4 linked regions of the Struthio camelus genome follow. The protein of the gene in region 2 interacts with the protein of the main gene of each other region in a biochemical or structural test. Links are inferred from orthologs where the notes say so. Each region holds a gene or a part of one and is shown on either strand. Other genes may lie near its edges. The genes, in order: SNCA, FYN, ENO1 and FASLG.

Evidence for each region.
Region 1: of the proteins of FYN (region 2) and SNCA, one has a biochemical effect on the other in vitro, tested with the Homo sapiens proteins (3 studies listed by BioGRID). The link is inferred for Struthio camelus from reciprocal best matches to the Homo sapiens genes FYN and SNCA.
Region 3: of the proteins of FYN (region 2) and ENO1, one has a biochemical effect on the other in vitro, tested with the Homo sapiens proteins (2 studies listed by BioGRID). The link is inferred for Struthio camelus from reciprocal best matches to the Homo sapiens genes FYN and ENO1.
Region 4: the proteins of FYN (region 2) and FASLG form a complex in vitro, tested with the Homo sapiens proteins (4 studies listed by BioGRID and IntAct, with this or other methods). The link is inferred for Struthio camelus from reciprocal best matches to the Homo sapiens genes FYN and FASLG.

What each region holds. Positions count from the first base shown.
Region 1 is NC_090945.1:13,021,284-13,028,538, reverse strand, and holds the start of SNCA (alpha-synuclein), read left to right. Parts: upstream 1-4,249; 5' UTR 4,250-4,632; intron 4,633-6,404; 5' UTR 6,405-6,424; coding exon 6,425-6,545; intron 6,546-7,255. UniProt on the Homo sapiens protein: Neuronal protein that plays several roles in synaptic activity such as regulation of synaptic vesicle trafficking and subsequent neurotransmitter release.
Region 2 is NC_090944.1:61,357,477-61,365,284, reverse strand, and holds the start of FYN (tyrosine-protein kinase Fyn), read left to right. Parts: upstream 1-4,790; 5' UTR 4,791-4,834; intron 4,835-4,840; exon of another isoform or gene 4,841-5,289; intron 5,290-7,808. UniProt on the Homo sapiens protein: Non-receptor tyrosine-protein kinase that plays a role in many biological processes including regulation of cell growth and survival, cell adhesion, integrin-mediated signaling, cytoskeletal remodeling, cell motility, immune response and axon guidance.
Region 3 is NC_090962.1:5,393,068-5,400,470, forward strand, and holds the start of ENO1 (alpha-enolase), read right to left. Parts: upstream 3,009-7,403; 5' UTR 2,993-3,008; coding exon 2,885-2,992; intron 1-2,884. UniProt on the Homo sapiens protein: Glycolytic enzyme the catalyzes the conversion of 2-phosphoglycerate to phosphoenolpyruvate. In addition to glycolysis, involved in various processes such as growth control, hypoxia tolerance and allergic responses.
Region 4 is NC_090949.1:8,983,315-8,990,606, reverse strand, and holds the start of FASLG (tumor necrosis factor ligand superfamily member 6), read right to left. Parts: upstream 3,013-7,292; 5' UTR 2,958-3,012; coding exon 2,568-2,957; intron 2,191-2,567; coding exon 2,145-2,190; intron 256-2,144; coding exon 202-255; intron 1-201. UniProt on the Homo sapiens protein: Cytokine that binds to TNFRSF6/FAS, a receptor that transduces the apoptotic signal into cells. Involved in cytotoxic T-cell-mediated apoptosis, natural killer cell-mediated apoptosis and in T-cell development.

The sequences.
Region 1 (7,255 bases), on a different chromosome or scaffold from region 2:
CAGGAAAGGCTTCAGGGAAGAACTTACAGTTATACTAATAGTGCTATGGAGATAACCTAGAAAAACAGGTGTTGTAGATAATATTGTTTAAACAGGAATAACCTTGGAGATGCAGTTCTAATTCCCTACTATATTTAATTCTAGACTAAGTCCCACCCATTTGCAGAATGAAGAATTTATCATATTCATACTCTTTTTTTTTTCCTTTTGTGTCTCTTATGCTCCAATCTGAAATTTTTCAGAGGCAGCTATTTTGAATCTTACAGCTGAATGTTTAAATCTTATTTCTACTGTGCTAACTGATCCCTCTTGTCTTTGCCTCTCTACTTTTAACTAGCTGTTTTTATTATCCTGCAAGCTGTTGCTTTGCTTAGTACTAGAACAACATACTTCCTTTTGATAAATACGAGACAAAGAAGAAGCCTTACAAAGGCTAAGAAGCAGCTGTAAACCTCCAAGTTCTTCTTCATAGAGTTTTAACAAAATAAATCCAGTTTTATATTAATTTATCAAAAAGCAGGATTTTATTTTCATACTCACTTACATACCGGACAAAGAAAATCTAACTTCAAAGCGAGAAGATAACTTTTAAACAAGGAGCTCAATACTGGTCCTTTAGAAAGGCATTCTAATTTAGGGACTAAGGTTACTGGCCTGGGTAGTAGTGTTTCACACAGCTGTAAGGAATGATGAAAGAATGGCTTCCGACAAGCCCTAAAGTATATAAACTGCTGGGCTTGCCAACGTTAAAGTTGGTGTGTAGGGTGAGTCTGAGTAGGCCTTGTGTTTTTGTAACTGCTTTATGTGCTCTCCTAAAAGTTAGCTTTCTACCAATATGAAGCTTCTACTAAAGGGTAAGATGTTACACTGTTTTTGCTATGGTATCGCTGAGGCTACAGGAAATACTTTAAAAATACTTTGTGACAGTAAGGCTTTTATAGTAAGCAGGGTTTTATTTTAGTGGCAGAATGAAGGGTAGAACTTGAGCTTAAGCTTTCTACCATGTTATCAAAGGCTTCTCCTCATAGCTTCTGTAAACAATCATTGTGGGGGAGTATTTCATTGTGTGCTGCTCTATTTTTCTGTATTCATCTTTTACTGTTGTAGAAGGGTATAAGTGATGTAAGAAATACTACTAAGACTTTGACTCTAACTGTACACCTGGACATGGTGCAGATGTCCCTTTAAGTGAAGCAGGTCAGTTAGGTTCAAAATTGGCTACAACTTACATAAGAATACTTAAGGCTAGTGGCACTAAGTTTTATGCTGGTGATTTGGTCTTCTGTGGAAACTTTGTAAGAGGTAAGCATGAGAGAAACAGCAGTTATAGCACATAAGAAACTGTTATGACTTCAGTCAGATCAATATGCTTTGGTGAAAGTGGCAATACTTGCCACAAAAGGCAGTAGCCAACCTCTTTATAAAACTGAGCACTGAAGTTTAATAGTATAATGCTCTCCCCCCCCCCCCCCCCAAACTTAAATTGTTTTGGTAACTGACTTATGATCATTTGGCTAGTGTCAGTAATGTTATGCTTCTCACTAAAGCACCTTGGTGCTTCTTAAAGTAGCCTTAGAAGTTTCTTTAGTTTACCTTTAATTCTTAAGTTGGCAAAAGGGAGCTTGAAATTGAAAGTAGTTGCTATTTTATTATTTTGTGGAGGGAGTTTGAGGTTTAGCTGAGTGATTGGTTACAGAATGTCTAATTAAGGAGAATAGAAGTTTTAACTATTTCATTATCCATTTCCTGAGATGGCTTGTGTCTTTTAGCTAGCTATAGGGCATTTGTATATAACATGTCCTATATTTGTATATAGGGTGTTTAGCTGCCTCCCTCCTTGGAGGCAACAATATAACGAAAAAGGAATGTTTGAAATAGCTTGTGAAAATAAGTATGCTTTTGATATAATCTGCCAGGAACTACTCACTGATTAAAAACTTCATTGTTAAATTTGGTTGTCACACTGCAATGTGATGCACGGGTGCAGAGGAGTTCTAAGACAACAGAACTTCTTACTTCTCTGGGGCTCTTCAGGATTGCAGCTTAGCAGGGAGTTTGTAAAAACATATATTTGTACTTCTGAATCTTATCCTTTGAATTCCTAGAAAGTTTTTCTGGTTTCTGCTACTGTTACTTAAAATTTTAAAGTAGCTGAAATATAATGCTCAGTTAAATCTGTGACTGAAATAAAAATGCAGCTAACAATCCTGCTTGTCCTGTGACAAAAACTACTGATTTTCATTGACTTGTGTCTCCATAACTGCCTGTTTCCCAGAGTGAAGCATAAGCCAATTTTTACTGAGTTTCTACAACCTGTCTATTGACCTGGAACTCTACAGGTTATTTCTGAATCTTGACTTTTCTGACAGTGTCGGAAGGAGCTGTCATAAACGAAAAGATTAAGGCCTGGTAACACCATTTTCTAAAACAAAAATACCCTCTGTTAGTGTATGTATCTTCTATATATTGCTGAAATCCTTTCTCCAAGGCATCTAAAGTGTCTTATATACAAACATCATAAAATACTGATGATAGGCTGTGGTAGATGTTGTGATGTAGCAGAATCAGTGCACACTGAGTCTCAGATTGTCAACTGTATTTTGCAAAGAAGCCTTTATATTCTTGAAACTAATCTTGGAAAATTTCTGTTAGTGGAATGTTCCTTGTAAAAGGTACCTGGGAACTTAAGAACTATTGGTAAAAGGCCTAACTCTGTAAAGATCCTAGGCACTTCAGTATGTAGATAGTTCACACGGGGAATTTTCCAGCTGCTCTACTCTCCTTGACTCTGAAGATTCAACAAACTACATTCTAGAGCAGATGTATCAGTTTTGACATGTACATTTAAGACAGTCCAGAAAGAATTGACATATATGGTCAGTGAAAAAAATGAAGCTACTAGGTGCATTCCATACATGTTCTTTCCTTATGTCAAGTGCGTGTGGGGAACCCTGAACTCCAAGGGATTAAGCTTTTTGTTGAATATTAAGTAGAAATACTTAAATAACTGAGAATTAAATAATCTTTGGGAATTCTATTACTGTAAATAGCAATAATGTGGCAAGAAAACTAACTTCTCACATGTAGAAAGCATACCCCTTTGATCTACTGTCTAATAAATGATAACTATGTTCCTTTGCCCACAAGTTAGTTGTCTCCCTATCAAGAACGAACATTTCCTTAGTGTGAAGGAGATGAGGTACCTAATGTAATTACTATGCTTTTAAAGCCTTTCTTGAAGGTAGAATTATGAGGAAATGATTCATATTCTCTATCAATATCTTACATAAAGACAGTACACTGCTGAACACCTGATTAAAACTGGTAGCAGGATAAACCAAACAAGTTTTCTTATACAGTAGAGAAACATCAAGGCTTCTAAAGGAACCTTCCAGCTGCATGTTCAGAATGAAACTAAAACCAGGGGAGCAGCAAATTCCTACATAGGATGAGGAATGGAAGATGTTTCTTGCAAGTCAGATCGTTGTATTGGCTACAGCGTGTTCTGTCTGTCCTTTTGGAGTAGAATAAACAAATGGAGAGGGAAACTTTCTGTAGGTCATGCAGGATTTCAAACAGTACATGAACTAGTGTACTATGGCTGCAGGTCCATCTGCTCTAATACCTTGTCTCCTGCTGGTCTTGGCTTGTCATGCCTAAATAGGGCTACCAAAATAGAGAACAAGTCTGACAGCTTTCCCTTTACTGAGGAAAAAGTTTCATAAATGCATCAGATTGAGACATGAGTAGCAGTGGCTATGAAGTGTATGGTGGAGGATGCTAAGAGGGGCACAGGGATTGGCAGGAGCTAGGCTGTGTGTTTTGTCATGTTCCTGACTTGAAGTGCAGATTTCTTGTGTGATAGGACTAAGTCAAATTGCATCCTCAAAAGCATCAGTCTCTGCATAAAAAATGACCTGGGAACATAAATATTATGAAAACTCAGTGGCATTTAACTCTGAAGTCACTTAAGAGCAAGGATTTAGAAGTAGAGGAAAAAGTAGCAAGAGGCTTACAAAAAATTCCTAAGCCTGAATGAAGTGGAACATAGGTGGATTGCAACTGCCATCAAATACATACACTTCCAGGTGTCTAAAGACTCTGTTTTGAGCAGGTAGTGGGTGTGCAGAGCCACAGGTGAGCGAGAACCCTGGTCTCTCTTTTACTTGTCTTCCCCTCTGGATCTGCCTTGACTGGGGAGGGGGGGAAGCTCCCAATTTATCATGCCTCCAACTTCGTTTTCACTGACGAAGCACGGAGGTGGGTGCCAAAGATACGTGAGGCCCCTGACGCGATTCTCCCGTGGGGAGCAGGCGGCGGGGGCCGTCCCCCCGCAGCAAACCCCACCACAGGGTGGGGCGGGAGAAGGGGGGTGTGTGTGATGGGAGCCTCCCTCCGCCCCTACTTCCCTCCCTCCCGCGGTGCTTCTCTCTCCACCCCTCGCCCTGCCTCTCCCTCACACTCGCTGCTTGCCGGGCTGCCATCGAGGTGGCGCCAGGAGACCCGGCTCGCTCTCCCGCGCCTCAGGGATGTACTGAGAAGGGGGCAGCTCCCCTCGGGCCTCTCCGCGCTTCGCCCTTTTCCTCGCTTCAGAGCCTCCTCAGAAAGGGTCCGCGGCGGCGGAGCCCGGCGGTAAGTGGCGGTGAAGGGGGGGGGGGGGGCGCCCGGGGCGCTCCGGGGGAGGGGGGGAGAGGGCGCCGCGTGGTGTGGCAGCCGGGAACGTCCCTTTCCGTTCCTGTAATGGCTAGGGCTGGGCTTCGGTATTATATATAATATATATATATTTATTTACATACACACCTCCCATTGAACATCATTCTGGGGGGACGGGGCGGGGGGACGAAGTCAGGTGGTTTTGCCAGCTTGTCCTGTCTGTGTCAGGGGGAGCTCGTGGGTGCCCCGCTGGTCACGTCGCCCTGCTCTTCTTCTCACTAGGTGCCTGTCTATACGTGTATGTGTATATATATATATATATATATATAAAAAATATATGGCCACGTCGCCCTGCCCACTCTCTCTCTGAGTAGGTGCCTCCATGTACGCAGGTCACGCTGCCCTCCCTCCCTCTCTGTAGGTGCCTCTCTCTCTAAATATATATATATATATATATGTATAAATGTATATGCGGTGGCGCCGCCCACCTCCGTAGGTGCCCACGTACCTGTTGGCGCTGCCCCCGTGGCTGGGGACGTGCCGGCGGCCGTTGGGCGCGCGGCCGTTGGGCGACCGTTGGGTAACGGTTGGTTGGAAGCGGGCGGCGCGCGGGGCGGTGGGGAAATGGCGCCGCGAGCGGGAGGGTCCGGCGGGCTGGTGGTGATGGTGGCGGCTGCCCCTCTCCAACCGCTGCTCACAAGCTGGTAGAAAGCTGCCGCAGCCCAGGTGTTTCCCTAGACGTGCGTTCCTCCTACTCCGCCTTCAGCGCAGAGGAGAAAATAACGGGCGCTGATTCTTTTTTCTGTGTGGGTGGGGAAAGAAGAAGGAAAAAAAAAAAGGCGGTTGATAACTCATTTGTTGAAGGGAACTTGACTTTTTAGTTTTAATTTAAACGTAGTGCTGGGTTGCGCATCTGTCGCAGAACTAGTTTGCTAGCTTTTCTGCTTTAAACATTGCATATCCTTGCTTTTTTTTCCCCTCTTTACAAAATCTTTTCTCATTCGTGGTGCATGCAGAGAACACACAGAGAAACTCAGTTTGCAGAAGAGTGACACTGACTGTGCACAAAATGCTGCATACTGGGGGAAGAACTCAGCTCTTTTTATTTGCTGTAGGTCCTTTTTGGTTATAACAGCATTTTCTCCTAACAATAGCAAGTGAACCTTTGTCACTTAGGATTTTTTTTAAAGTTGGCAGTGTTTATGTTGCCTTTTTTCCTCTGCATGAGCTGATGTGGAGTGTCATCAAATCACGGGGCTGAATCTTGCAATCAGTACATGAACAGAACTTCACTTTGAAGGGAGCGGTGCCTTGGTAGAGGCAGTGAAAGCACTTGTCGTAGCAACGAATCCATCTTCCTATTGGCACTGCGTTATCCAACCCCTTTATTTATAGGTTTCTGTTGAAATTTCCGAACCCGTTCTTGGCTTGTGAGAGTACTGCTCTTGCAGTGCTGTTTAATTTGTTATGTGTGGCAACGTATGAGAAAATGTAAAGGAGATTCGTGTAACAGTCCTCTTTGTGTTTAGCTGTTGTATAGTTTATCTGAAATACTGAATGCTAGCTTAGTATGTACGTATTACTAGGGAAATGTGGATGAAAGCTACAAAATAGATGGGTGTAAATTATCTATAGTCTAATTTTTAAATAACTGATTCCAATCAATTTGACCAAAATTTTCCTTTTCTGAAAAAAGCAGAAAACCTCTATTTGACCTGTGTGTGTGTGGTGGTTTTTCCTCTCTTCTCCAGAGCTGTGTGATTCTGCAGCCATGGATGTGTTCATGAAAGGGCTCTCCAAGGCGAAGGAGGGAGTCGTAGCAGCAGCAGAAAAAACCAAGCAGGGTGTGGCAGAAGCAGCAGGAAAGACGAAAGAGGGCGTCCTCTATGTGGGTAGGTGAGCAGCGGAGATCATGCTGCTAGTCTGGTGTTCCCTGATGTTTGTGCTCATCTGCAAGAATGAAGGTTGGGTTCTCAGAGCTACTCTTCTGGGTTTTTCGTTCTTTCTTTTTTTAAAAAAGAAAGCTCATAGGAGAACCTTGGAAGACAAACAAGATGAGTTGAGCCCTCCTGGGTTTCGTTTCTTTGAAGCTGAACATTGGTTTTAAGCTGTTGCACTGTGCTGTCTGTGTTGCTACACTGTGGAGCCATATATGTAGCCCTATACAGAACAAGATGTGCATCATAGATGGTGCCTTACAGCACAGGAGACCAGCTGGCACTCTGTTCAAGAAGTATACTCCATTAAGGTTGGAGATGTGATTTTTTTTGATACAGTAAATGATATAAAAGCTAAAATGGAAAGAGGCTTCATAGAATCCTGTAGAACCTGTGGGTTTTCAGCAGTTTTTTCTTTCTTTATGAGAAGAAGCTTGAGAGGTTCACTCAGGAGCTGATCATAAACCATGCTGGCTGCTTTGTCTCGGAATAAAATGAAGTGGAAGGGAACGCGCTCATTAGGAAGGAGCCTGTTCTCTCTTTTCTCAGTTTTTAAGATCCCCAGCAGTAACATTTTTGTGTGGCAGTGTCATCTTGTCTTCTGAGATTACCCTCATGTTCAACACAACTGTACATCCATAGCTGCTTCTCTCTATGCCTCATTA
Region 2 (7,808 bases):
GCTGGATTACAGATGCACTGCTGTTCCCAGTATTCTTCTCCCAGTCTCCTCACTACCATTTAAAAAAAAATATTTTTACTGACAGTTAGTACATTTTATCAACTTTCACCAAGAGTTTAAAATGTTTATTTGAGTAAAAATAAGAGTAAGATTTGTGTCTGACTTCAGTAGGTTCTAACTTTTGATAAGTCTAGATTCATAGGAAGTTTTGAAGAGGTGGATTTAAGATATTTTATGTTAACTGTTTCTAGATTTCCTCAGGTAACCCTATGTGTGTTTTTCCCCCATATCTGCATGTTAGCCACACAGAGCGTAAACACATCTGGAGCTTATAAACCCAGAAATTTAACTTTCAGAAAATGCATGATACCATTTGAAGACGTAGCATTACAGTTTAGTACGTGGTTTGTGCGTTTGGGAAAATCTCTGTGAAATGTCTTCTACTTTGTTTTTCAGGTACGTTCCAAGACAATAAAAAAAAAAATTGGTACGGACCTAAACACTTGTAATTAGCCCTTCTATAGCAACAAGGAAGGCCTCTAATGGTTATTATTTACAGCTATAATTGTGAGCAAGTTTCCTTCTCCACCTGCTCTCACAAATGGTCTACATACTATGCAAAACGCAAAGCTCTCTTCTAGCCCTGCCAATACCCTTCCTGCGGTTGGAGCACATTAGCACTATTAGCATTCAAGGGCAGGATGAAGAGCTCAGCTCAGCCCCTTCCCTTCCTCTTCCACGCTGTTGTTCCCACGCTGAAGCCAGTCTCCCCGGGGAGCCGTATCCGCCACCTTAGCATCCCGCCGGAGTAATCATCAGTGAGTCAGCAGAACCCATTTAGCACTCCCCAGCCAAATCAGCTCCTGAAAACACAGTAGGATGTTTCAGGCAAATACTGTCAGCCTCTTAAAATACTGTAGGCAAGTTCTGATCGTCTTTTTTTTTCCCCCATTGCTCTGTAATTATTATTATAATATGCTATACATGACAGTCTATAGCTGGTAAAACATATACAACCAAAAGCAAAATGAATGGAAGCGTCACCGAGTTAATAAAGGAGGAGGAGAAGCATAGTAGAGCATATAATGCAATGAGGCCGATCAGTGATTATAGACGTACAGTTTTGAGTCAACAATTTGAAGGTGACATTTGGGGATCCTTCCGAAAAGTAGTTCTATTCAAAAAGATTGTGAAAAAAGACACCATAGAACCAGACACTTTTTGGATCTTCTTAAATACAAGTTGCTCTTGTACTGACTTTTTCAAAATATGGCTTGGAAGAATCCAGCAAGTAACACCGATGTTTTCACACAGAGACAGTCTAGTTTTACCAACAGTAAAGCTACCAGCAAAACTGAACCACTCTACTGTTCTGTTCTGCACACAAACTACTCTTACATCTCCTCGGTATTACAAACTTCAGCTTCAGTTTTGCATGTCAAAATATTACCTTTCAGTTCAAACTGTGGATGTTATTTATTCAGCATACATTCACACTCTGTGTCACTGATTTCTTGCCCACTGACAAGTGAGGTATTACGAACACAAGTGTCTCATCCCATGACTGTGGCACTACATTCCCAGGTGCTAAATTATTAATACAAATAAATCGTAACCAGCTTCCATAATTTTCACACTGCTCAGTTACAAAAATGGCTTGGCTTCTTTGTTACTGTAGCAGAATATGGGATAGGAAGGAAAAGGGTAAAATCTTGACACAATATTGGTTAGCATGTGGGACTCTGCAGAATGAAGTTTTTGACTTTTCATGTCTTCCATTGAGGCTACAGAGGAAGAAGTATTTCAAAGGTCAGGACTGCTAGACTTTGCTGAAGAAGTATTTTAAGGTGAGGCTGGAAAAGGAGAAAGCAGCTTCGCGTGCAGAGAAAGGCTATGTAGATGAAGGTGGGAGAAAACAGTATTATAGACTTAAGACTAAAACGCTTAGAAAAGCTAAGGAAGCAGCAGCAGAAGGTAAAGAGCTGCTCCTGTGTTACGTAAGTACATTTAGTTATTTCTGCTGTTTAGCTGGGAGGATGCCTGTCAAGATTTTCTAGATGATTCCCAAAGGCTGACATCAATATGGCCAGACCGTAGCTGTGAGGGCCAAAGACAAAATCTGCTGTGGGGAAGAGCTGCTACCTGCCCGCACCTGCGGGCCCGACCAGCATAGGAGGCCGTGCTGCACCAGATCTCGCCTCTCCCACGGGGGTCCGCGGGAGCTCACAGCGACTCTGCTGCTCCTTATGATCCTAAAAGAGATTACAGCTCCCCTAAAGGGGAAACCCATCGCTTCTTCCCTTGCTTAATGACATACCAGCACTTGGTTTCTGCCTCCACACCTTGTTCCTCTTTAGCTGTACTAGCTCAGAGCATCAGACTTTCTGTGGCACGCTGCCAAGCAGCCAAGCAAGTTTATCTGCCCAGGCTTAGAGCTGCTCTGTGGCTGATGTGTGATATTGTTCGGGTTTCATTGATCAGTTGGTAATTTTCTAACTTGGCTCAAAAAAAGAGTTGCTGCTCTTTTCTTTTTTTTTCTTTTTCCTCCTTTGTGCCATTCTGGTTTTAATTCGCAGCAAGAACATTCAAAGCTTTGGACAAGGATTTTTTTCTCTCACTTTTTTGACTGTAAAATTAAGTAAATTTCCTAAATCTCTTGCTGGAAGAACATCTGGTCCTTTGATTAAAAAATGGGAGGCTTAGGGCATAGAAAAACGCACGTTCTCCTAGAGTCAGGCACTGTTTTTTCTACTTAGGAGAAAAGCTTGGGATATAAAGCACTATTGGCAGTCCTGAAAATCAACAAGCTGGACGTCCGTAATTCTACTCGCCTCCCGGACTGCACCAGGCCCGCTGAGGTTGGTCTCTGCTCAGGACCTCTGCTTTTCCTGAACCACTGCCTGCCTCTGGCATAGCGCTCTTTGAAGCACTGAGCACTTTGAAGCCAATAGGACCAGGATACTCTACCTGGTACTTCTGGAAAGGCAGAGCTAGACTTCTGTATTTAAGTTCTGCTATCACCCACTAGGACGCAACAGCAAAACTTTTTTCAGTTGATTTATGCACTTCTGTTTTTGTGCTGTTTTTACATTCTATATGTTAAAATTAAAAAATTGCATGGAAAGAGCAGGAGGCAAACTAAAAATGAGCTACCTAAAAGCCTGAAAAACGTTTGCTTATACTCCTATAATCAGATTTTAATTGAGAAACAACATGATCGGCACCTTTCTTTTGGAATTCTCATCCTCTCCAAGTTTTTCATATGAGCCAATGGAACAAACTCTATAAGGTCCTGAAATTTTATTCTCAAAAAAGAGTCATCTACACAGACAGCCAGATAGACGAACCATTTCTTTTTTTGCTGTGAACACACAACTGTAGACATTCTGGTAGAAAATAGTGTTACATTTGAACCTATTAAAACTGTAATTTCATCAAGAAATCGAATCATCAAGATCAAAAGATTCCCCGTGTAAAATATCAGCAGGTAAAAATTATATCTGGGGAAGAGACGAAGAGATAAACGGAAACCTTATTTATTGCAAACTTGTATTATACTTCTTGGTGCCCTTTCAACATTTATTCCATTTCTCTTCCTCTGCATCTCTCTCTTACACGTCTCTCCTGTTTTTGTTGGAGTGTAGAGCGCAATCAGTGATTTCTTCAGTGTTAGGGCAGATAAACTTTCGAAGCCTGCAAGACGAGTGACAGCCAGATGTGCCAATCTCCGGCACAGGAGCACCCCAGGTCACTGACGGGGTTGTGTATGGCGTGCAAACGCTGAAGCTGAAGAGCCCAGCGCTTTTCAGTGTGTGTTGGCGGCGGACAGAAACACCGTGAGAAATGCCAGGAGGTACTACAGCATTGCTGAGACAAGGAAAGGAACAAGGTGTACGGAAACCTTTTCCTCTTACCTGTTTATGGAGCGAGGTATACCACAATTCAAGGACAGTAAAACCTGCATGTGCTGAAGCTCCAATAAAGGCTTTTAACTGTACTAAAAATATACATATACACTTCCCATAAGGTGGACATTGTTAGCTTACAAATCTTTCTGACAGTGATCTGAAATTCTCAGCAATTAAATGCAGATGTGGTATAAAACCATAGCTGTTTCCTTATAACCCACGACTGCCAATTTCAAGAATTAGGGATAAAAGAAAAAATAGACACCTTTTATAAAAGAGGGATAATCTACTTAAGGTTGTTCTCCTATTCATCTGTGATTCTGAGCCTTAAGGAAACACTTAATTCTTGTTTCCCGCTCCTGGGCACCCTCGGAGACAATGCACCTCCCCGCCCTTTTTTTATTTTTTTTTATGTTTTTTTTAAACAGAGGTTTCTGCCCGTCCGTGGGCCCCGGCCAGGCGGAGGCTGCAGACCCCAGCGCGCCGGCACCGCGGTCCCCAGCAAACGCGCGGAGCGGCGCAGGAGGCGCGGCGCGGCCTGCCGGCCGTCATTTTACGACTCCCTTCCTCCTCCTCCTCCTCCTCCAACTTCGCCCCTCTGCCCGGCCAGCCCGCAGCAGCCTCCCGCATAGCCCCGGCGAGCCACCCGCGGCCATGACCGTTACGAAGAGGCCGGGGGCGGAGGGGAAGCGGCGACCCGACCCTCCCGCCGCCTCTCCGCCACAGCCGCGGAGAGCGGGCGCTGAGGCGCGGCCTCCCCCCCGCCGCCCCGCCTCCCGCCGCCGCCGCCCGCCAATGGCGACGGCCGGGGCCTGCCGGCCGCCCCTCGCCATAGGCCGGCGGCGCTGCCAATCTGGAGCCGCCCCCGCGGCGGGGCGCGGCGCGGCGCGGCGGGCGGGAGGGTGCCGGCTCCCGGCTCCGTGCGGGTGAGTGGGGCCGGGGCGGCAGCGGCGCTGCGGTTGCGCCATCTGTCAGGAGCCCCGGTGGGAGGGAGCGCCTGGGCCGCGCTCGCCCGGGCGGAGCGGAGGGGAGGCGAAAGCAGCAGCAGCAGCAGCAGCAGCAGCAGCAGCAGCTCCTCTCGGCGGGGGGAGCCTGTGCGAGCGCATCTCTCGCAAGGCTGCGGCTCTGCCGGCCACACAAAAGCTGCCGCCTCCCGCTGCCGGGCTCAGCCCCGCCGGAGTTTGCCCTTCCCCTCCCTTCCTCCGCCCGCGGGAGAGATTCAGGGGAGGGGGGGCGGAGCGGTACCCCGGAGCTGCCTGTTATTATTGTCGCTGTCACTGTTGTCGGAAGCGGGGGGAGCCCCTGCCGCGGAGCCGAGCGAGGGATGAGGAGGATGTGAGTGCGGCGCCGCAGCCCCCAGCCCTGCGCTGAGCTGCCCCAGGTAACGGAGGGGCCGGCGCCGCCCGCCCGGGGAGGGGAGCGGGCGTTTCGGGGGGAGAGGGAGGATGCTCCGGCGTGTTTGTTTCCTTTGTGCCTCCCTCCGTGCGGGCATGGCGCTGAGAGGCTGTTTCGGGAGCGGTGGCGGCGGGTTTTGTCTCCCCTCCCCGCTGCCTCCTCGCCGGCTCGGCCCGGGGAGGGGGGGATCCGCCGGGCTGGGCCTGCGGCGCCGCGGCGAGGGCTGAGGGGGCGGGCGGCGACGGTTACGGGGGCAGGTGGTGACGGTTACGGGGGCGCCGCGAGGCCGCGGCGCCCGCCGGTGCCCCCGCCCCCGGGGTGCCCCGCCCGGGCCCGGCGGCCTCGCGGCGGCCGCCGCCTCAGGGCTCGCGCGGCGCCGGGCGCGGGAGAGGTGCCGGAGCTGCAGCACAGGGCTTTATTTGTTGCCGCTGAACTGCGAAAAAGGGGAGGGGGGGGGAAATAAATAAAAAGACCTTCTCTCCCTCTCGGGTAAACCGTATAGGATTTGCGCCTCTGTGACAAAGGCCTCTTTCAGGGAGGAAAGAAGGGGCGCACCAAATGCCCAAGGGTGGCAGGATGTGAAAAGAGGCTTGTTTCTTGTCTTTTCCCTAGAGCTTCTCTGTTTCTCCCCAGATGAGGCCGCTGAGCTGTTCCCAGTTCCTTCCCAGCCACATTTAGATTAGTGAGAGATACCAAACGCCACGCCACGGGTGCCAGGGTTTTGCTGCGTCTGCAGAGCTACGGCGTACATGTCACCAGATCTCCTGAATCGAATTCGGTTTGGTTTCTGCCTCCTTAGGAACTTGCCTTGTTCCATGTGGATTTTGCATGCGTAGGTGCTAGGAGAGGACACTTACTAAAGACAAGAGCTTCCTATCCTGGTCCGTTCAGCAGTGATGGAGGAGGCAGGGCAGAGTCAATGCTAAAGGAGAAGGTTTAGGTTGAGTGGAGAGCAACCCAGTTACTCATCAATCATTTGATACATTCTGGTTCTTAAAATGCTTAATAAAAAGTGGGAACAGCCTGGGCTTTCAAATGCATACCCAGCACTGGAAATGCCTGTGAGACCTTGTCATTTTCTTCCTTGTATACAACCTCCCTAACTCCCACATCCTTCCTGCCACCATCCTGGCAGCTGTAACACTTTCCAGTACCCCCCCCCCCCACACTTTTTTTTCTTTCTATCTTTTAAACTAGTATTTTGTGATCAAAGCTTAGAACAATTGTAGGTGAAGCTTTGTTTGTTTAGATGTTGATAGAGGAAGTGTTTTTGTTAAGGTTGACTTGTCTGATCTCCCTGGAAGAAGGAAGAGTTAACTCAAGGGACACTGTCAACTTGAAATCCAGAGAATTTGAATGATGAATGGAGAACTGTGTCCAATATTACACCCACTGTTGAGTTCCCTGCTGGAGCTCTGTGGTTTTTATAATCCTGTCTCCTGACTGTGTGGGTTTGTCATGCAGCGAAGGAGTAAAAACACACTTCAAACAAAGTTCTGTTAAGTGAACAAAGGAAGCTAGAAGAAAAATACCAGAGGACTGGGAAGGGAAGGAAACATCTCCAACTTTTCAGTTATATCCATGTCAGCCAGTGCTTGACCCAGTGGGAAATTTGGGAAGAGAGAAGAAATTATTTGTTAGTTTTTAAAACTGAACAATTTTTAAAAATTGAAACCAGTAAAGTAAAAAGATTTGCCCTCTCCCCCTCCTCACACTGTACAGGATTTATTTACCATCTTAATGTGTGTTCTCCAGAAGCAGATGACACTTGGTGGATGTCAGTAGATGGGTGACTTTTTAGAATTCTTTATATATATATATATATTTTTTTTTTTTGAAAAGGGAATCTCTTGGAAGAAGCACTGGGTTCCTTTTTTTATCCTGTCCCCCTCCAAATGAATGTTGTCATTTTGATAAAGAAAGTAATATGACCTAGTTAATGCTTTCAAAATTTGGATTTCATTTGTGGTAGGTTGCAGTTCTCCCTAGTTTGTTGAAACATTCAGATGATCCTTAGGAGATGGCCTGTCAGCCTCTTTGTTTTCCTCCTCTAACAAATCAGTATGTAAACTCATCTGAATGGCTCATCCTTTGCTAAAATAAGAATTTCTAATATGAGTTGTCTAATGATAGATAAGTGACTTTGGTGTTTCACAGTTTATGCCTCAGCCACATGATTTCAGCCCTTCTGTGTTATCTGCTGGGGAAAGATGTAGTGACATGAAACATCGCTTAAGTATAAAACCCTAAACAGACCTGAACACTGTTTTGAGATTGGCTAAGGCCAGTCTTTAATGAATGATGAACGATTCAAGCACATGGGCGTAGCAGAAAATGCAAGGCAGAAGTAGTGATGAAGATGATAGAGGGAAGTTACTTGTTAATTATGTCAAGTATCTTTAAAAGTTAGGACCCGCTGATAAGCTTCTATTCCAGTTGAGTAAGATAAAGCATTGGTGAGGAACTCATTATTTCTAAGGTACTGTAGATTTCACATAACATTAT
Region 3 (7,403 bases), on a different chromosome or scaffold from region 2:
TGAGAGGAGTATCTACAAGAATAGCCTACCCTGCCTCCTAAAAGGAAAGGATCACTACAATCCTTTGAACTTTTATTTCTGTTCTAAGTTTCTCCTTAGAAAAATTGCAGTAAGGAACATCATACATAAATCTAGCAGTATTTAAAAATCAGCTTATTCAAATGTCTGTAAGCCATGGACTGGTATGAGAACTAGTGCATCAACAGATAAGAAAGCTGAGCCTCAGAAGCAGAAATATCTGGCAGCTGGCTTTTTGGCAAGCCAATATGGGTGGTAACTCAGTATACAGAGTTATAGTCACATCTCTGCAGTTACCAAAAAGTTACTAAAACAGGCTCTTAGAAATACTTGGGGGGGGGGGGATATCAGCTTCATGCGTTTTTTCTTCCTCCACTGTAAAAATTTTCCCTTCTCAAGTTCCTGCTTACTGTCTCTATTAAAGGCACAGGCAGACATTTGGTTTGTCCACCAGCTTCAAAGAACCCCTTCCAGCTGCTCCTGTCTCAGAAAAGCAGTTCTGAGGCAGCTAGAGTATTTTAAGATATTGCTTGCTCTACTGTAAGACCCAAACGCTGACAAGTTATATGACTGCCCTAAGAAGCAAGGCAACTTGGCTCAAGCTGGCCTCTATACTGCTGCTACTTAATTTTAAATCAGTGTGTAAGCTAGAAATAAATCTCTGCAACTCCCCAGTTATCAGTCCCAGCCATATCAACAGGCACATATCCCTCTGCACTTGCACTAAGCAATGGCAAGAATCCCTGAAAAGGGCTTTCAAAGCTGATTCGGCTGGCCCCTGCTATGCCTTACTTTCGTTTTCAGAACCACAGCTTCGACAAAAAAATTAGATGCCCCATTCTTTTGGGTTAATAGCCACCTCACAAAGAAGTCCTCATGCAACAGAACTGTTTGTTCACCTTCACAAAGAAGGGGGCACTCTAGGAATACACACTGCAAGAGCTTCCACCACAAGTTACCCCCCAGGTTTGGCAGAGCACAGTACTTGATCGTCCTTGGCAAATGACCTCCCCATCAGTCCTTCCCTGTTCTTTACAGGGAGGCATTTTGCAGCACTGCATCCTCTCAGAGATTCTCCGTGTCAGTTTTTTTTAAACCCATTTTACAAGCCCCCTCACTTCTGCTTTCAAGAAATGATTTTCCTATGGAGCTATTCCTGGCTAAAAAAAGATTGATGCTGTTTGTGTCATCACAAGCCGAGCACAAGTGTTCTGCCTCAATCCTATTCAGCCACCTCAGCAAGAAAGCAAGAGCTAGCCCATGCATAGCATAGGTCTAACTGTTAAAAACAGTAGCCGGACACAAGCACGACAAGAGCTAGCTCATCATTAGCAATACCTATTCCAGATCTTTGTACTTAACGATGGAATTAGCCAAACACATGCCAGAGTGGACTTTTATATGCACGTATTCCCTTAAACCTTGTTTTGTACTGCAGTCTGCTGCCAAGGTCATTTGTCCCAAGGTCATTTAGGAGAGGTATCACGCACACCAACTTCCCTACCTTCCTAGAAGCACATCTATTAAGTTGCTACCTACTTCAAGTCTAAGTTACAGCCCAACACAGGACTGCCAATTCTAACACTACCTCCACTATCAAAGCTCCACTTACTCCCTACTTGATCTCTGCTCTGCACAGGGAACGTAACGCTCCAACTACAATGCAGACTGCTCCAGCCTAGATTAAAATGGTTCACAGAAATTCACCTTACAGCTAACTCTATTGCTAAGAGTTCTACTTATGTGAGCTGTTTTGCAGCCACGTTTCTCTAAAGTCAAGACAGGGCTAAGGCAGAGCACTGCAAGAACCTGAATGGGGAATAAAAAAACAGTAGTTCGGCCACAGGAAGAACTATTCTACTTAGTTTAGGAGTCTTATTAGCGATCTGCCCTACAGCTGCCAGTGGCAGTCCCCCATCACACTGAAAAAGATACCCGTAAAACTGCAAGCCTCATGGCATCCCCACTCTGATGAAACATTCCTGCTTACTAGACCCTGAGCTCACAATATACTCCTAACACTGAGACATTCCTCAAGGTGGGACACGTGGGGACCAACACGGGCACCTTCTGGTCATATCCCCTGGGTTTCCAAGCAGTGTTAACGCACACCTGCGCTCTGCAACATGATGCAACGTGCTTTAAGTAATGCCTGGCACAGAATCAGTCAAGGATGCATTGAGCTACTTTCTCTCTCTCTCTTTTAATAAGATGGAGGCCTGAAAACTGCATTGCCTCAGTTCGGGGGTTGGGGCCAGAAACATCCCTACTTCCTGCCGGGCTGAGAAAGCCGCAGCCCTACCCTGTGACTCAGCAGCAAGTAACGGAACAAGGCAAAAAGCCCCAATCCTCTCTCCTGCAGCACGAGGCGAGCCCGCAGAGAGGCCAATGTTGGGTTTTTTTTTTCCCCTCCCCTCTCCTCCCTTTTCCACGCTCCATCACCCGCCCAGAGGCGCGGGCCGAGCGGCCGGCTGCCGCCCCCGCCGCTCCCCCAGCGCTGCCGACACTCCGAGCGCCCGCCAAACGCCAAATATTTGAGCGGCGGAGTTGAAGGACATCCCTAAAGGGGGGGGGGGGGGGGGAAGAGAGGCCCCATCCGCGAGGCGCCGTCCAACAGCAGCTGCTTAATGATTAAAAGAGAGAAAGAGACGTTAACGCGGCCGCGGAGAGGCACCAGCCAGCCCCTCCCCCCACCCCCGCCGCCACGAGGCGGCCTCGCTCGCAACGGCCGCGCCTCAGCGGCGCCGCGGACGACAGAGGGGGTGGGGGGGGGGCGGCGGCCCCACGGGAGGCCGAAGGGGAGCGGAGAGGCGCCCCGGGCCGGGCCGGGCCGGGCCGGGCCGGGCCCCGCCGCCGCCTCACTCACCTGCCGCCCGGACGCCGCTTCGCAACCGACTGGGAAGCAACGGCCGCGCGCGCGCCCGGCTATAGGGCCACGCCGTGCGCACGCCCCGCCCCCCTCCCGCCTCCCCATTGGCCGAGCCGGCGCTCGCCCGCCTCCCCATTGGCCGCCGCCGCCCCAGCCGCCTCCTCGCCCCAGCCGCGGCGCGGGGCGCGTGCGCTACGTGCCGCGGCGGCCCCCGCGCTTGCCGGCCTGGGCCGGGCTCATGGAAAATCCCACGGAGGGGCGGGGCCGGGCGCAGGGAGGGGGGCGGGGCCTGCCGCCGCGGCGGCCGTGCGTGCGATGAGCGCGGCGGGTCTCAGCCGGCCCTTCGTGCGCGGGGACCGGTGGGTGCGGAAACCAGCGCCGAGAGCGACAGGAGGAAGGCGAATAACACGGGCGGAGCATCCGTGGTCGGAGCCGGCGCGGCTCAGGTGTCGGCACGCTTTCTCCTGGATCAGCAGATTTTGGTTTTTTCCCCCCCCCTCAGTTTTTCCCGCTGGGCCGCACGAGGCGGGGACCGGCGTCGGCGTAAGCAGCCGGCCTCCGTACGCAAACCAAGCACGTTTATGACCGAGGTACCCGCGCCTTGGAAGCAATAGGAAGCAATTAGCTCTGTCTGCAATTAGGAATAGCTAATTCGCTCCCCCCGCAACCCCGCCACGGACAACGGCGGCCTTTTTTATTGAAGGCCTTAACTGAGGGCCTGCTCGGCCCAGAGGGCTGCGGACGGACGCCTCGCTGCCGCGGTCCTCGGGCATCCCCAGCCGGGCTCAGCCTGCCCCTCGTGCCGTCCCTGGCCCGCGCAGCGCCGCCGCAAGAGCCCGCCCAGGCGGTCAGCGCGCGACAGCGGTAGAGACTCACTTCCAGCAGCCCGCCCGCTGCACGGACCGTCCCCTTCGCTCCGCTCTGCTCCCCGGGAGCCGCCGTTTGCCGGTCCCACCGCTGACGTCGCTCTCGCCTTTTCACCGGTTTTGGCTAATCTTGCCTCTCTGTTGCCTTTGGAGGACACTCAGCAAGGCTCACTCCTCCGGATGTCCAGGCCGTGCTGCCAGAAAACCTCCCGCGCTTCTACAGCTGCCGGGGCTCCCCGACAACCCCGCCGAGCGCGTGACCTGCGCCGTCTCTGAGTCTCCGACCGCGCCGTCGCACGCACAGCTCGCTACTAGCTGCTTCCCGCTCCCAGCACCTTCTCTTTCCTCCACGCTTTATTTAGTTTTTATTTTTTCCTAACACACTTACCTTTTCCGTTCACCAGCGATTTTTTGGCAACGACCCGGTAGAGGAGCTAACGGCGGGTTCCTCACGCGGGGTTTCGGAGACAGCCTCCTAAGCAACTGGCACGACGGGTGACCGTGACCACACCGCGATGCTAGACCGCGGTAAGGTTCGCCCTCTGCACAGCGCGAGATCAGCTGGCGTCTGGTGAGCGACGACAAAGCTCAGTTACGCTCGACCAGGCTGAAACGCTACAAAAAATAAAAAGCAAGAGACCAGCCAGGGTCAACAGGGCAGAACTGCTGCAGGACAGCGTTTGAGCGGAAAGGGAAAAAAGAGAGAGAGAAAAGAAAAAAGAAACAGAGAAAAGAAAAAAAGGGAGATGGTCGTAGGATTGTTCATAGGTGATGTTCATCTGTGAGGTTCATAGATGTTCATAGGATTAAAATAATTGCAGAATAAATAGCACTTTTGGGGAAAGTATCTCTTTTCTGGTCTACGCCTGCCTTGCGCAGCTGGAATATCTCGTTTCAGTAGCGGCCTGATACGAATTTTAGCCGCGTGATGGGCGAGCAGGGCAGGGGCACGAGAGAGGACCTTGTTGGGTGCAAGGCCCCGGCGCGTCGGAGCGCTGCGGAGCGACCGCGGTTGTGCCAGCAGCGGCGTACTGTCGCGCGGCAGGGTCCCCGTCTCTGCTCTCTCTCTGTCTGCCTTGTCAGCAAGAGGGCTTTAGCGGGGAACAAAGTAACGCTAGCGAAAAAAGCTTACCAACGAGCCTTGCAGGGTGGATCACCTTCCTTAACGAAGCAGAAGCATCAGTTAGCCCTCCTTCCAGGCGAAAAACTAGACCGAGAGGAGGTCACGGTAGCGGAGGATCACAGCGCCTTTACGTTTGACATAAAGAAACATTCATTTCGGTGGCAGGGGGAAAGCTAGGAAGCACTTTGGGGAAGCAGTACGCTACAGAATAATTGCTAAAGCTCCATCACGCACGCTACCAGGCAGGCGTTAAAATAACGTCCTTCAGGCAAAACGCCTTCATCGTCAATTAGCTGATAAGAGCCCTCTGTAATAAGGCTGCGCTACTCACAGATCGGCCTCCTGGAGAACACCTTGCCGGACTGGCAAAAGCGGACCCTGAGGAACTGACACGCTCAGCCCCTCCACGACCGCGTGGTGGAGGCCTCCTTCAGAGCCAAACTCGCCCTAGGTAAAGGGAGTCAGCAGGCAGGACTGGCCTTCGCCAGGGAACAGGAAACTTGTCTGGAAGGGGTCAAGCTAGAAATTGCTTAAGGTAGGATGCCCAAGACCGTCATCCCCAGGAGCAGCGGTGTCCCCGCACAGCAGGCGGAGATGGCCCGTGTGCCCCCTTGCCCCCTGCCAACGCATCTGGCATCTTATGATGCAGCGGTGGTTTTAAGCTGTGCACCAAACCCCGGTTTCTGCCGCCGCGGTGCGTCACGCAGCCATCCCGGGATAAGCGCTGCTGCGTGACGCCACGCGGAAATAGGAGGTTCAAGCCTGTCTGTGTTCATACAGCTGAGGTATCCTATCCACTGCAGAAACAGCTCTGGCAGGGCTTACTAGCCAGGCACCGTATAGCGGTGAGGCACCCCATTTTAAAACAAAGATGTTCCCCCAATCTTCTACAAACTAGAAAACAGAAACCCTACCGCGCGCAGGTCCTGGCCTTCAGTAAATGCAGCTGTCTGCTTGCTCTAGATCAATGTTCTCCAGAGGAGTTCAGCCTCTGACCGGAGCAAATCCAGATGCAGCTCCAGGACATGAAGAAAGAGTTCCTCAACAGAGGGAGCCAGATTGATAAGCAACATGCATCTATGGGGTTATAGGTTAAACTCCCGGTTACCTCCCACCCCTTCCAAGGATGAAGAGCCCATGCCCTGCTGCCCTAAGCGCTTAACGGTTTTGGTACCGCTACATGCAGGTAGAACGTGGTCCCAAATCTGGGCCAGACGGAGAATTTTCATAAGCCACGTTATCATTAGGTCTAGCACAAAACTAGCTACTCTCACACGCACTGCAGCTTAGCAGTCAGGAATTTAAGCTCCCAGTTCCCCTAGGGCAAATCGTCGTCTCCATTTTACACAGGGTGAGAACAGAGGGAGGGAAAAAACACAATGTTCCCAAAGCAAATAGGCAAGGGAGCTAAATTTTTTATTATTTCAAGCTCATTCATTGTTGACACGGCAGATGCCAGTAGTTGCAGCTAAATCAGCTAAGACTGCCACAGCCCTGCCCGTTGCCATGGGTGGAGTCTGCAGGACTTGGTCTGATTTATAGACATGGGAGGCACTGTAACAGCTGACTCTTTTTGGTTCTTTCAGGTGTTAAATCTAGCCCTTTCCCAGCTTTCTACTTCCCTGGGGAAAACATTTGAGTTGTGTGAACATTCAGCCCCTGCGCAGTATGACTCTCCATGCTTTCACCTTATGCTTTTGGACCAGAGCCCAGCAGGCGGGCCGTCAGACTGTTCTCTCCTACTCCATGCAGGAGAGGGACAAGGAGCTGGTGGTGACTGTGGGTGCCCATGTGGGGCTGTGGATAGGAGGCCATTTCATCAGCTTCCCTCTGCACCGTGAGTCAGAAAATTGGCTGCACTAGTGCATGGCATGGGCCTCCCAGTCCGGGATGGCAGATTTATGGCTGAACGGAGAAGTGGGTAAAGCCAAGAGTATCCAGAAAGGGTAAGTGACCCAGGCTGGCGGGACACTTGTCCTGGGGAAAGACAAAGACATTCTTGGGATCTTCTCCAATGGCTTTGCAGGATGGATGACCCAAGTGACCCTGTGGAGTCAAGTTCTCAGGTCTGCAGATGTTTGGGCACTTGCACTGTGCAAACCAGAGCAATCAAAGGGAGCTATCATAGCATGGGGAGAGGGCTCCATGACGCTCCTGCGGGGAGTGGTTCTGGAGTCTGACACCAGCTGTCAGTGACATCCCCCTCTCCTTTCTTACTTTAAAAAAAAAGGGATCCAACAGACATACTGGGGAACGTGAGAAGGAAAAGCTGGTTCCGTGCATTTGTTTTTGATGTTGCTTGTCTCTCCTTCTGCTTTGTATAGGTTCACTGCACACCTTAGTGCTCCAGGGTTTTTTCCAAGAAGGTAGCTGGGGGTGAGGCCTCCATCAGTGTGACAGACGGAAAGAACAGAGCAGAACTCAGCATGCTCCAACATCTTGCACTGTCACACCTCTGCCAGGAGGTTGCTCTAGGTCACACCTGAGACTCTACAAAATGAGACTTCCCATGCATAGATCTTCCTCC
Region 4 (7,292 bases), on a different chromosome or scaffold from region 2:
GCCCTCACTGAAAAGCCTAAATGAAGGAGAAGATTTTAGCTGCGGGAGTGACATTGAACTCTCAGGGCATGCATGTTACCAAAGGAAACTGAGAAGGCCTACATGAAGCAGGATCCTCGCAGCTCTAACCAGGCTGCCCTTCTGCCCCAGCCACATCTGCCCTGTCCCGCTCTCCCTTCTCGCTGACCCCTCAGCACATACCTGTTAAGTGTGCTGCCTTCCTCTCTTCCTTTTTCGCTGACGCGCTCTTCTCCCCTACATGAAAACGGAGAAGACTTTAACCACATGCTCCATGGAGAAGCCAGCCCAGAGACCAGAAGGGAGCCCTCTGTGATGCTGAAATGGGGCAGCTTCAGGGCAGCACAAGGTGCATGGGCAACACGGCCTGGTGCAGCAAGGCAGATTGGTGCTCAAGCAAAGGCTTCACAGCAAGGAAGCACTGCAGCAAAGGATCCAGATTAATCAAAAGCAAGGGGAAGAACAAAAGAGCAAGGACAGCTTTCATTGAAAATGGCTCAGTCAATAAGCTCAAGCAGAGGTGTCTCCCTCAAGGTGCAGGAGAGGGCTGTCCTGCCCCATTAACTGGCATCTCTGGCCCATGCCAAGGTGACTGCTCATGTCCTGCCAAAGATGAGCCTGCTTTACTGCCCTCTTCCAGTCCAGCACTGCCAGGGGCACACGTCCCTGTGACAGCAGACAGGTAGCTGCTTAGTGCCAACCCTCCTTACAACTAGACCAGAAAAAATACTTGAGACTGCCTGCAAACCATCCTGCTGGCCGTGCAGACCTTACCCTGTGAGAGGCAGAACATAGCTAGGAAATCCTGGCCTCCTGCAGAGGGCTTGTGTCCCCTTGGAGAGAGAGGCCAGTGACAGTGAAAACAGGTGGGTGCTTGGAGCCCATGCCACCCTGTCCTTCCCCTCCATTCAGCACCCACTTCCAAGCACTAGGTTCCCAGATTTTAAAAGAAGCCTCTTCTTTTCTCATGCCAGGCAAATTCCATTTTCCTCTCTGCCTTCTCTGTTACACTATTTCCCTGGCTTTATTTATTTACTACCTTCAAGAATTTTGGGGTTAGTATTTATGCCTCACATTCAGGTGCTGCTAAAATAGCCTGTGATCAGAGCACTGAGGAGCTGGTTAAAATGACAGAGGAAGGAGAGCTAAGCAACAGATTACAAAGTTAATTGAAACAGGAGCTGCCCTTTCCAGGGAGTTATGCTGTTTCCAACTTCACTTTCATTCTGTATCAGAACAGAGTTGAAAAGAAATGAACTCTCCTACTAAACAAATCCTCAAGAAAAAAATATATTTTCAGATCTATCAAAAAAACTGAACAATTCTTTCTGCTTTAACCTTCTTTGCAAAGGGATATTATCACTGATAACATTATCGTGCTATGTAAAAGTAAAAAAAAAAGTCTGAAAGTTTCAAGTATAATTTTAATATTGTTCCATTCTAATAGAAACTCTACTTTTTTTTCCTAAATGAAATTTCAGAAAAATTGGCAGGTTCTTGTGGAAAGTTTCAATTTCACTGAAAAGACATTTCTAAAAGAAAAAAAAAAAAATATATATATATATATCATCAGGCTTTTCTCAATTAGCTTTGGCTGCAGTGAGACTTTGTACCAAAAGAATTTAGGAAAATATAAGTTGTCCTCTCAAGGGAGGAAGTGAATGGTCCACCCCCAAAGAAAATGAAACCCTCCGCATCCTCCCAAAATCTTGACAAGTAAGGAAACAAAGAAGTAACACGAATGATGCCTGTCTGGGATCTCTGTTCTCCTTCTTCTATCCATATTGTTGCTGTATATTAGGGCAGCTAGAAACTCACTTACTCTAGAGCCCCTCTAGTACCATCGCCCCATTGGGGACTGGGAGGTCCAGCCTGGGGGCAGATTGTCCCCATACCCACGGGTGATACCAGGGCAGTTTTCCTCCCAACAGGCAGGGTATGGGAGCCCTACCCGCATTCTGGAGATACATTTCTCATTCCAACCAAAGGAGTGAAATCAGCACTTTCAGAACATCAGAGCTGCAATCCTGCCTTTGCCCCCCCCCGCCGACATGGGGAGGGAAGAGTGAAATGGGAGATTTCAGAGAAGCTACAAAGAGGGAGCTCCTCTACCTACATCAACTCACCTATGAGCTTTTCCAGAGCTGGAGGGATGCGTTCAGTGCTGGCAGACTGTCAAAAGAAAAGATGACAAAGTCTCTTAGCATGGGAAGAGCATAACGGCATTACCTGGAACAGCCAAGGACTCTCTTTGACAGTGACTAGTTCTGGACACTCAAGGAGAACTGCGGAGTGGTAAGAAACACTATGTACAGGGACAGAGACCCTGCGGCACTTAGAAACACAGAGACATCCAGGCATATCATAGCCACCAACAGAGCAGTCCTCTACCATGTAAAACAACCCTACTCACACTAGGAGAGCAGACATTCAAATGTCTGCCCCATGGAGAGTTCTGCACCCCCTGAGCACCTCAGATGCATTTTTCGGTTTTTGTCCTTTCTTTTTTTTCCCCCCAGAGCCTCTATGACAAGCCAAACAGACTTTACCTCTCTGAGTTCAGCCAGTTCCTTCTCCAGGCGAAAAATCTGAAACATGCTCAGTCCAACTCCAGTGAGAGACAGCAGGATCAGCAAGGAGACCACCAGGAAGCCGACGTTCTTCCCTTCCCTATTGCCCCTTGGCTTTGTCCTCCGATCAGGTACTGGTGGTGGGAAGGGGGCAACGGGGGGTGTTGGAGGACAGGAAGTGCTGGGATTGGTACAGCCATCCACCCAGAAGATCTGAGGGTACAGGTAGTTCAGGTTCTGCTGCATGGCTGGGAGAGGGATGGGCTGGACGTGCTGTGCGTGATCTTCCATGTGGCAGCCAAAAGCTGCCAGGGCTGACCCAGACTGAGTCCTGGGGGAAGACCCACCTCTGCCTTTATACGCCTTCATCGCTCCAGCAGTGAACACCCAGCTCAGATGCTGTGCCTCTATGAAAGCCTCAAGCATCAGCAGCAAACCTCAAAGAGCTTCCGCCCTCAGCTGCAAGTTCAGGGTTGCCTGCCTGCTCCTCCCACACTGAGGCAGCACGCACACACACCAGGACAAACCCAGTGGCAGGCTGCTCTCCTACAAAACTGTGCCCAAAGGCTAGGCTCAGGAACGGGTGCACTGAGTAGTAAAGCACTGGCAGGGCATGAGAGTGCTGCGCTGCCAGCCAGGGGCTAAGCAATCAGCCCAGCACGCACGCCAGCCAACGACCCTTTCCAGCAGCCCGCTCTCCGCAGCCCACTCGCCCTGTGGTGCCCAGGACCAAGAGCAGAGGGGAACAACAAAGCCTGTCCTGCTTCTGGCCGCCTGCCTAAGAGGGAGGAGGCAGAGCTGAGGACGCTTCTCCTTGGAAGGATAAAGATCTGATCCCAAGTGTCACTGTGGGCACTGGGGAATTAGTTCATTTTGCGCAGGACAAATTACTTAGGGCAGTCTGTTGCACATCCCACCTTTCCTTTGCCTGCTCCCTAGGGCAGGGATTGTGTGTACAGTTTTGTATAATCCCTGACACAGCAGAGCCCTGGTCACAGATGCTGTGGTATAATAAACCAACGTAACGAAAAAGAGGAAGGCAACGTCAGTGCTGCAGCCTCAGCAGAGCTGCCCCAGGATTGACAGCCCAAGCACAGCCGGCTCAGTGGGCTGTCTGCACCCACACCAAATCACTGCATGGCACTGACCAAGCTGAACAAGCAGTGGGCTGTAACGCAGGAAACACACATCGTGTCAGAGCAAAATCAGGCTTCTTCTGGCAGCTTCTGCTTCCCTGTTTACTTCTGCAAACAGTATCACTAAACACACAGTCCTGTTCTGAACTGAACAAGCATTGGAGCTGGGAAGGTTGGTTTTTTTTTTTCTTTTTAGGACAATGCTGAGAACTGCAGCAGGACCTAACCAGTCTGTATATCTCATGATTAAAGCCTAGAATAGACACTGCGCTACTCATCTCTCAGTAGAATTTCTCTGCCTTCCTAGAAAGGATCCAGAGTTTAAGCTATGCTTCAAGGACCAGCACTCAGATGAAGGCTCATTACAAAATCATAATGAGGAAGGACAGGGACAGGAATGTTTCCATCCTTCAATGTAAGGCTTCAGTGGCCACAGATTTCTAAGTGATGGCAATGAGATCGTCCCACCAATTTACAGGCACACAAAAAACACTGTCCGCAGCAATCTGTTCTTCCATTTCACAGGCCTGCACGGCAGCGTATGTGTTTGCATAGGGGCAATGTTTAAAAAAGCAATTGCCTAACGCAAGAGGAAACTGGAGTTTTGTCTCCTACGTGGCCAAGCAAAGCAGCCCCAACACACGGGTTTTTATCTTGAACATCAAAAACTGGAATCTCAGGACAGCATGCTTTACCAAAAGCTGCATGCAAGCTTCTCCAGAGCAAGGGCTCAGCTCTACCTCCAACCACACCGATAACACTCTGATGTGTCCTCAAAGCCTTGCCTGCACCACCAGCCACCCCACTGTGTTTTGAAGCTATTCACCACAGCTGCTTGCTGAAGCAGTGATCTGCAGCGTGAGAGATTTCAGAAACTTATGCGGGTCCTCCTTCCTCCTTATACCTCTAGGTTTCTGACATAAAAGACACAAAAGCAACATGAATCCAGCTCCAGCAGTTCAAGCCTGGTCACACCTCCCCTCAACATGCAATTCTCCTCTCTGCATCTGAAATGGTGCCTACTAGCCAGGCAAAGTCACCTGCTAGTGGGATCATTACAAAAGTGGGATTACCCTTTGGGTCACACAAAGGGCTGGGCTCAGCTCCTCACCTCCTGCACCCGATGTGGAGTTTGGTCCACCCTGTTAGCCAGTGCTGGAGAGAGCGAGCGAGCACAACCTCTAGCCAGGAGCTGAGAGAAACAGCAGGCTGCTTGGGCAAGTGTCTCCCATCAACATGCTCCCCACACTGCCTATGCAGCACCTGAGCCACACGCAGGGGATGCACCACCCACTCAGGCTTTTTGCTCAACACAGTCCCAGCGGTCAGCACCAGCACTGCCTCACTCAGAGCAGTGAGTGCAGCACACCTGTGGCTCTTTGCAACATGGACGCTGAGCAGGGCAGGGAGTCCCCATTTCTTCTACAGCCCTCTGTATCCCCTTCAGCTGCTGTAAAATACACGGATGGGCTGGGGAGCAGGAACCAAAGCCTGGGACTTCCTTGGGCCCCAAACCCTCTCTTCAGATAGGGTTACCCCTGCCTCTCCTCCAGCCATGTATTTGGGGTTCTTCCCCATCAGGGTGAGACCCCTGCCTGAGGTGGGCCCAGAAGCCAGGTCCCCCTACAAGGTGGGCTTCCAGCTTTGACTAGCTCAGAGAAGAGGGAACAAGCACATCAGCTCCAAAACTTACTTCCTCTCACCGCTTTTTAAAGAAAAGGCTTGACATCTACGGCATAACAGAGGACATCAGAGCGCTCGGCTGTTGGAAAGAGCCTCCTCCGGCAACACAGGCAACATCCAATTACTAAGGAGGGAAGGAGACTGTCTGAAGAGCACAGAACAGAGCAAGGGAGCTCCCCTGTACTTTTGGGGTGCTGGTTCAGGGACTGACTGACCCTCAAAAACTCAAAGTAAGCCATGCCAGTGCTGCTGCCTGGACTTTGTACAGCCATCCACACATTTAGTTTTCAATTTTATGATCAGTACCGTGACTAGGAGTCAGAGCTGTGACAGAGACCAACGGAGCGTTTATACAGGAACTGGGTGCAAGAGGCAGGAGCTAAGGACTACGACCTTACAGAGCTCTTCCCAGCTCTAGATCCTACACGTGGGCCCTGGGACAGTCAGCTCTGCATAGGTACCTCACTTTGGCTGTCCAGACAAGCAGATTTCACCCTTGCTATATGGCACATATCTCATCAACAGCTCTCAAAATTACACACCTGTCCTGCCCTGAAGGATGGGGCTGGATGGCCCCACACAATTATATAGAGCTGGAGGGATGGCCAAAAGCCACCAAGCACGCAGCCTGGCCCAGAGAGGATCCACTCTCAGGATTTTTCTGATGCTGTCTATATTCAATGCAGACAGCTCATCTTGGTGGGATTGCGGGCACATTAGGAGCCTCTCTTAAATGTCACAAATGTACTTATTTGTCACCCACTGCTTCCTTTTTTCACTGAGACGCTTTTCTATGAGCGGATGACAGGGCAGAGACAACAAAGTCAATGAAAAGCATTTCAGCCATGCTGCATCTTCGGATGTTCAGATCAAGAGCCTGCTAATACCGCATGTTGCGGCAAACCAAAGCTTGGCTTATTTTACCATCAAAGGGTGATTTTTGGTGCCCAGCATGTTTTCAGAGACCTCTGCTTTCCCAGCACACCCTGCCATGCTGATTCTGTTGTCACACTCTCCGATTCCTTTACGACCACCTTCAGAGACCACCGAGATGATACATCCTGGAAAAGAGCAGTAAGGAGGGCTGCTTCTGGGCAGGATGTCATGATGCCTACAGGCTCTGCGCTCTGCTGGCTTCCTGTTGCTCACATGCCACATGGTATTAATAAACAGGGCTTTTGAAATAATAGCAGGACAATTTGCTGAACATAGACACCTGAGTCACATGAGTCTCTTTCACTAAAAGGCCAAGAGCAGGAAAAAAGGACGGACACAAAGGGACAAGATGGGAGTCAGATACGGCTTTCTGCCTCCCTATCTTTCTCTTTGCACAGTTTGTAGGAGGCCCACCCTGTCTTCTGCAGCCATACTCCCTCATTTGAACAGGAGGAAGCATTTTCAAATGGAAACACTTCATGTGCTCTTTACCAGAGAATCTCCTTTGCCCACAAACAAACAAACAACGGAAGGTAAGCCACAGCTACGCAGACACAAAAGGAGGATTTGCTCAAAAGACCACCCCCCCACCCCCAGGAAAGATGAGAGCTCTTATTAATAGTACTCAGTATTAGCAAAACCTAGATTCTGACAGCGATGAGAACCAGCCAGTGTCTAAGAAATACAGCTAAAAGTTTGTATCCAGCAGGTTTAAGGACAACAGGATGGAATTATTCCTGATGCGTAGCAAGGAAAATGGAACTTAAACAATGATCTGGATCTAATAATTACCAAAAAATAAATAGAAAATAGTAATTTAAAAAGCTAAGTGTAAGAGGGAGACTCTCATCGGGTTCTGGACGAAGAAAAACGTGTCAACAAATATCCCATTACAATAGTGACTAGCAGAAACGCTAGAAAACAACTACTGAAAGTCTATAGTGCTGCA